Linked DNA regions of Bombyx mori. The protein of the gene in region 2 interacts with the protein of the main gene of each other region in a pairwise test. Links are inferred from orthologs where the notes say so. Each region holds a gene or a part of one and is shown on either strand. Other genes may lie near its edges.

Region 1 (4,038 bases), on a different chromosome or scaffold from region 2:
CTCTATCGGCGAATGGGTGCTAAGAGTAGCGATCGTTCAACCATTTTCCTTTTGGTTCTCGTTGATTTCATTGATTAATAGCAAAGAGTAAAGATTAATGGTTGTTTACGGTATGTAGTGATTATTATTGTCTTTGGTTGGTACCAGGATTGGAATAATACAAGACTTGGCTGCGGCCTTATTAAAAAATTTATTTCAGGAAGAAATTTTAAAGGACTTGGCTTCGGCCGTAATGATTTTTTTATTTCAGGACATAATATAAATCATATAAGGGCTCGGCTTTTTTTAAAAATGACAAGGTTGTATAGGCCTAAGGAAAAATTGTACCAAAAAAAAATGTCTTTGGTTGGTCAAAATTAATTCTTGAGTAGTTTTTGACGGGAGCGCGAATAGAATTGTGTTTGTGTTAACGTTTCTTCATGTTTAAATGTATAATAAAGAAGATTTATTAACTGTTTATCCTCTGTTAACGTGCACAAATGTAGGAAAATGAAACAAAGTTGCTGGACGTAGCTTCTTGGGTTCTTTTAAAAAGTAGACTGAAAAAGTTTCCGTAAATAACCACCATTCTATTGAGATTTCATCCCTTCTCAACCCGTTTCATTTAATTTCATTTCGTAGATATGAATAACAATTTATGCATAGGTGTTTTGAAATATTTTATGATATACTTAAATGAAACTAATTTTCATGAAAACATAATTTTTTCAGTAATTTTATATTTGATTAAACTAATATACCTAATAAGTGGTTTTTTATCTTGTTTTCAAAATGTACTCGTACTGTTTTAGTAATTATGACAACATAAATAAAAAGTGCGTGTAAACACCAGCGTGTGGCCTACCCTAGATAATTAGATAACTCTATTATACAACCAACTCATCTGATCTTAAGGGTTAATTTAGTATTACCTAGTGTTAGAAATATACTTCTATTTTTAAAGAGGCATAATTTTAATAATTTTCCATTCATTGGTAAAGGTACGAAATAAATAATTACAAATCTTTCCTTATTTAAAAAATAATTGAAATAAAATAAATCCTAATCGCTTTTTTGTAATTACTTCCCATATCAGATATCGTATACTGTAGAAAAGATAAAGATATGTACTGCGAGTTCCAATATTTTCCATAAACATCGACTGTCATGGGACCCTTGTCCTTACAGCTGACAATTGACAATCAAGATTTTTTGACGCTGAATGACATCTACTGACAGATCAGCAATCAGCATACCACGGGATTGGAAATGTGATTTATTTATTTATTAACAAGTTTCTATATGAAATAATAAACTCAAACATCAAATTTAAAGTGGCAAGTGTTGTATTGTTATTGACCTTTCTCTGCAAACAATAACTTGTTATAAATTTATAATTTGAATATATTTTGTCGTGTCACAATAACATCCAAGCGAACGTCACTACACCAGTATCGTGATAACGCTTCATAAATTGAAAATTTCAGTTCCAAAAAAGAATGTCAAGTTGTGATTATTAAATATTTCGTAATGTAGGGAAATGGCGGAGACTAGTCAAGCGCGAGCGAGCCCCTCGGCGCCTGGGGGCGACGCTGGTGGCGAAGAAGACAAACATGACGAAAGAATGCTAGAATGCAACATCTGTCTGGACACAGCCCGTGATGCAGTCGTCAGTATGTGCGGCCACCTCTTCTGGTGAGCTCATTGTCGTAATTAATACAGTAAATAATTAGATTTAAATCTAATGGCTGAAAGATTTTTTATGAATATTCACAACTATTGAAAAGGTAAAATATCATTTGAATAATTTGCATTAAACTATGCTCATTATTATTCATTCTCATTACTTACCATTGACCTTGTAATGCAGTAAAATCAATACACTGAATGGAATGAACTATGAATGGGAACAGCTGTGCTTTGTGCTACAACATAATTGTATCTATCTATTTATTGATTTATTAAAAATGTTAAAAGACAATTTATTTTAATCAAAATTAATTCTATATTAAAACAGATCTTTAAAATCAGGATTTACATTAAATAGATTAGTAGAGCCATGGTCTCTCAAGAAGGTGGTGGCATACAATATGTACATTTGAAAATTGAATGCTTTTTCTCTTTAGCATCAGCCCTCTGATGTTTTCTCAGATTTGATTGATTTGATAGTCAGGGTCTCTCAAGACTATAGTTTTGTTTTGTCAAGGAGAGCCAAAGAAGGCTATAAAATAAATTTTCCTATATTGTAAAAAGTAAATACAGCTTTTTATCTACTGGTAAAGCGTCCTCAAGCTGGTAGGGCCAATTATTGGACCATAGTGATGCACACTCTTTAGACAGGGGCTCAGATCAGTTTAGCTGGCTTAGTTTACCTACTATAACAGAAAAGTTACTGAATTTCTAGATAAGAACTTGTTCAACATAAACTGTTATATTACTGTTAATCAGTACATAAAAAAAAATTTATGCTTATGAAAATACTGTATTGTAAAATAAATTTCATATACACTATCATATAAAAGTTTAAAATAATATTATATATTTGGAGCTACTTAAAAACACAACACTGTTTAGAAACAAACATAGTTAAGTCTAATAAAAAATAGTAAAATTAAAAACTAAACCAAATAAGAATTTAACATACAATATCAATATTTACCTATTTAAACTTTAGCCTCATTGAAATGTCCCTCGTGTTTTTTTAATTATCTTCACACATATCTCTAGGCAAAATAAATTTCCTGAAATATTCTTTATTCAGCTTTTTCCACTTACTTTCCAATAATTTCAAAACATTGAGTTTGTTGGTGAACAATTTTTTACCCTCCCAGTCGTTCATGCCAAATGAATTCAATGGGAGAAATGAAGTCAGCTGATTGGCAACAGAGAAAACTTGAACTTGTTAAATTGTTAGAGAACCTTTGCATATTTTATGAGATTATATAATATGATTTATAATGCAAGGTCTGAGTTTAACCATATCTTGTGTTCACTTGCTACTCATTGCGCACTAGTGTTTTTCAAAGAGACTATGATGGTATATTGTTTACAATGCAGCTGGCCATGTTTACATCAATGGTTGGAAACCAGACCCAGTCGGCAAGTCTGTCCTGTTTGCAAGGCTGCCATCAGCAGAGAGAAAGTGATCCCGCTCTATGGAAGAGGAAACACAAAGCAGGAAGACCCAAGAAACAAGGTAAGTAATACAAAAAAAATAATGTAAAATTATAGAAACCACTTTTGTTGTTTCTATACTTCTGAAGCATAATATTGTCAACAACAACACAGTTGAAACTTTTTTAACTTCAGATGAAACTTTTTTAAACTTCAGATGTATGTATGTTAGTGAGTAACGGAATCTCTGAACATGATTTTGACCTTAAAAACGTCGGCTTAACGACTAGTTCAAGTAGTTATAAATATTTTATGAACAGATATGAGTAGAAGGGTTATTTTGATAATATCCTGAAAAGCACCCCATGCTTTTTTACAATAAAATCATTTTTTCTTACACTATTTTTAATTCAAATTTATTAAAATTTATTTTCTATTTTTAGTTGGATTTTCTATAAAAGCGTATTTTGTTAGCTTTTGAAACTAGTGAAGAAATACTTTTTTTTTGTAAATTAACTTAAAGCTTATCACTCCTATTTTATTTGAATCAATTATGCCAATGTTCTAATCAACCCGATAAAAAAATCCTAGCATTAATTATTTATATATTGAAGACTATACTTAACATTGTATGATAAAAATGAAATCCGCACATTTTTATGATTTGCATCATTACTGGTGGTTGGGCGTAATAAGAGCCCACACAAGTTGGTATTACCGTCGTATCCCTTATGCTACAAAGCAGTGTTGCAGGGCGATTAAAATGCTGGAAGCAATATAATTGAGACCTTAACTTCATGCCCAGATATGTGACTATTGAGTATAGTATTGATACATTCACCTCACTTTAGTGTGGTCCGTGGCACTTACTTGGTGATATAGACTGACAGGCATCTAAAACCAAGTGGACCCTGTGGTCCACTGATCAGTGATTGCTGCTCATAT
Region 2 (4,182 bases):
ATTTATTCAAATTGCAATAATTAGTCACCAATGTAGTCAGTACACTTATATATTTTATGTCAGTATTCACATGTTATATTAGCTATTTGAATAGACATTGATGTAGAATTAAGTCTAATATTTGCATTTAATACTAGAGTATTTAGGTTTGAAACTGACTACTTATTACTCTGAATTCCGTTCTTTGTGTGTATTGTGAACCGTTTTCATAAGTGCTCACTGTTGATAACTTCTTAAAAATATATTTTCGTTATTGATGAACAAGATAGCTCATTCTTTTGAAGTGACTTTATTAAATTTGTAATAAGCAATTGCTGTGTGTTAGAATTTTACCTTTACACCTTTAACAGCACACTTTTAATTTTATTATGATTGTCTAATTTGGTTACTTATACACTAAAATGTTAGAATTACATTAGTTTTCTATAAAGTTACACGCCTTTTATCTTGTAATTAAGTAAACAAATGCATTATTTTTATTGTTTGGATAATGTTAAGCATCCTCAGTAAATCATTTATAGAATTTTATTAAGTACTGGTAACGACTGTACACAATGAAGTGTGTATTCGGGAACAACGGGCGCCCTTCATAGCCTTGCACGAGTTATTTATGTATGCGAGAGCATCATGTTCTTATTTCAAACACCATTTATTTTTAAATTCATAACATAAACTACTATTGGATTGAGGTACTTAGCATGCATTAGACAAAATTTTAACATAAACATTATCACAACGCACCTTTAAGCGCCAGGTACATAGGTGGAACCCGGTGACATAGGGAGTAAATTAACATAACTTCGTCCTTAGACTGTTTATAACACTGGTCATACCTCAAAATAAGACCTAAAACTTACTCACTATTATTAACAGCAAACATCACGAAACTAAATTAACTTTTATTTTAATATTGCGAATAGGAAATCACAGACGGTAATAAAATTATTGCCACACATTCAAACCAACCACAGTACACAACTTGACTTGAAGCCTATTGAAATGCGTTTACGAATGCGAGGTCTGTTTCTCTTTAAAATCTCATGCAAAATGTTGAGTGATCTGTGAGATTTCTGAACGAAATACAGAGAAAGTAAAATTCATAGAGAAAGAAAACTACCGAAAATTATTGCAATGATATGGTAATACCGTTAGTAAGTGAGAAGAGAATGTCAAATTTATATTTTTAGTCTATGTTCGACGTCAGGGTGTGGTAGAATTTAATTTCAGATATAGTGGTAAACATTTGCTCGGAATACGTTTTTGAAAACTCTTTGGTAGAATATCCTGGTATCAATCTCTTTATTTCATCGCCTGCGATCGTGCGCTTTAAACGTTTTTGAATCCAGTAAAGCAATAAGTGAAAATTAAGTAGAATTTTAACAATGGCAAATATAGCAGCCAAACGTATAAAAAGAGAGTTCAAAGAGATAATGAAAAGTGAAGAGGTATGGATAATAATTTAACTAAACTTTATATTTGTTTTGATGTTTAGAATGTAGAACTGGAGTTACTTGCACTTTTGTTAAAATGTCATATTTTGTTGGAATGCATTATTATTATTTAGATAGTTAAATTGCCCAAGAAACTAAATTGTTGGATTGTCTCGATATAATAAAACAAAGAACAAATAGCCAGTTCAGAACAATGTGTGCGTGATTCAGCAAACTTGTAGAAATCATGTTTTGTTTAAATTCAAAACGTTAATGCTATTTTTAATTCGTCGAAAAGGAATTATTTTACTGCTTCGTAATAGTAAAATTAGCTTTTCAAAATACATCTATAATGTTTTTCGTGATTCATACGAGAAAAAGTAAACATTTTGTTTTCTATATTTTCTACCAATGTTTTTAATAGAAACAATACTTATATTACCCACATTGATCTTTATAAGTAATTGAAGTTGTGTTTAAAATAAAATAAAAGATTTTATCCGATTTATGCCCAAGCAAAAGTATTTTTGGCTTATTTATCAAATCACAGTTATGACACTGGTGGCTTCAGGCAACCATTTACTTCCAAAAAGCCAGACATAGTACAGGTATTTTTACATTATTTTGGATTTATTCCCTCATTATTGATTGCCATTGAAATAGAACTTGTGTGTGGGGCACCAGCATCCCCTTGTATATGTGTTCAGCTTACCAAGTAGCAATATTTACACATAACATACCGAATTTTTTTAAATTAAATATCTGTAGCACTATTGTCATGGACAGATTGCCTTATTTATTGCAATTGTAAGAGCACACCTGCGTGCAATGCATGTAATACATTAATGTACCGAACATGATCCAGGCGATACTAAGCTAACAGCATTCATAATCCACATTTTGATTACAATAGTAATTGTCCTCATAAACATGAACTAGACGATGACCGAGCTTTGCTCGGTATTAATTTTTTTTTTGATAAATTGTCTTTCGGTTGGCTTAACAACGTCATCTGTGGAAATAACTTTAGTGTTATTGTGTCTTTAAACAATTATGAAAAATAGTATTATTATTCGCCAATATATGTCGGGAAGTCATAAAGTTGATTATCGATAAAGTTGATTATTGAAAACACAAGTAAAACAACATTTCCTAAAATAAATTCTAGCTAGATCGATTTATCGCTCCCTGAAATCCCATGTATACTAAATTTCATAAAAATCGTTGGAGCCATTTCCGAGATTCAGATTATATATATATACAAGAATTGCTTGTTTAAAGGTATAAGATTCTGTGTTTGTGTAGACTAAGAATATTAAATATCTCAGTCCTAGCCCAAACCCAGCAAAAACTGAATTTTTCATTAGACAAAGTTTTTGCACTTCCTGCAAGTATGTGCTCTCCAATTAGCAAGTATCTTTTACTGCCTAGGTTGTATCTGAAAGCTAGCATGTGTAGTAAGAAGGTTACTCCTACTTAAAATATCTGCACTGCATTAGCACCAAGGCCCAATTTTTGTTTATTTATATATAGTGTAGATTATTGGAACTATCTTCTTATTGAGATCCATATTAAGAGTTTTTCAGGAATACCATTCATTAAATTGAATTACCAGGGCTCTTGCATTTACTTTTCTTAACCTTCTGTACTGAAATAATATACTGTACAATGACACATTGTGTAATTGTGTTAGTCATATTTGTATATCTAAAAGTGCATACTTGCTGCATTGTAAGCTTGCACAATTTCTTATCTCTCTCTAACCTTTAGCTTCTGCACGGCTGCCCACTGAGATCTTCTAGCACCTCACATCTAAATGGAACAAATGTTTATGTTTCTGCAAATATAAACAGCAGGGAAAACAAAGAGGGTTGTAATTGCCAGGAGGAGTGGGATTTGCTAACAACTGCCTTAGCACCTCTAAAGAAAACCTGCCATCTCAAGGGCAATTGCTTCACGAATTCATCTTCTACCAGACCGGAATTGCGCCCCACTGAGAAGATCTGGCGAGAAATTTAGCAGGCTCTAAATGTTATAGAGGGTAGATTTACTTTGAACTCTGACGAGTTTGATGAGTTCGGTTAGCAGGGTTCCTATACTTGCTCCTAGTGTTAGAGTTGCAGGTATCTAATGCAAGAGTTATTGGATCAGATAGATCTGTAAGGACGTGTCTAGAACGTCAACGATGACTGACTCCTGTGTGAGTCTGTGGCGATATACTTGCTCCTAGAGTTAGAGTTGTAGGTATCTAATGCACGAGTTATTGGATCAGATAGATCTGTAAGGACGTGTCTAGGACGTCAACGATGACTGACTCCTGTATGAGTCTGTGGCGATGGTGGCGGATGTGATTTTCATCAAGATTCATTATCATTTCTTCAAGATCTACATATTGCGATGTAACATCATATTACTTATATCTCAATCAATTCTAGGGCTTTAACAGCCTTCATAAAAAGGAGGCTATTTATCAATTCAGCTCTGTTTTTTGTGTTAATTCAAAAGTTTTTCTCGGTCAACTGATTTTTATGATTCTTTTTTTTTTTATTATCAAATTTCAATTTTTATCGAAGTCTGAGCAGTCGTTTTTGAGTTATCCTTATTGATCTATATTTAATTGACATTGATTACATTGATCAAATTATCTCAAAATCAAAAAATGATCTAATTTTAATTTTTAAATTTGGTTTTCTTTTTTTTAATTTCGGTATCGTATTCATAAAGCTGTTTGGAACCCATTTTCGTCCTGAAA

What was found. The genes of interacting proteins can lie anywhere in the genome.
Region 1: the proteins of Ubcd4 (region 2) and ring finger protein 5 interact in binary tests that used the Homo sapiens proteins (3 or more experiments, as listed by UniProt). The link is inferred for Bombyx mori from reciprocal best matches to the Homo sapiens genes UBE2K and RNF185.

The regions. Positions count from the first base shown.
Region 1 is NC_085116.1:17,094,581-17,098,618, reverse strand, and holds the start of ring finger protein 5, read left to right. Parts: upstream 1-1,238; 5' UTR 1,239-1,316; intron 1,317-1,515; 5' UTR 1,516-1,519; coding exon 1,520-1,674; intron 1,675-3,036; coding exon 3,037-3,175; intron 3,176-4,038. UniProt on the Homo sapiens protein: E3 ubiquitin-protein ligase that regulates selective mitochondrial autophagy by mediating 'Lys-63'-linked polyubiquitination of BNIP1.
Region 2 is NC_085107.1:6,308,363-6,312,544, forward strand, and holds the start of Ubcd4 (ubiquitin conjugating enzyme 4), read left to right. Parts: upstream 1-1,382; coding exon 1,383-1,445; intron 1,446-4,182. UniProt on the Homo sapiens protein: Accepts ubiquitin from the E1 complex and catalyzes its covalent attachment to other proteins. In vitro, in the presence or in the absence of BRCA1-BARD1 E3 ubiquitin-protein ligase complex, catalyzes the synthesis of 'Lys-48'-linked polyubiquitin chains.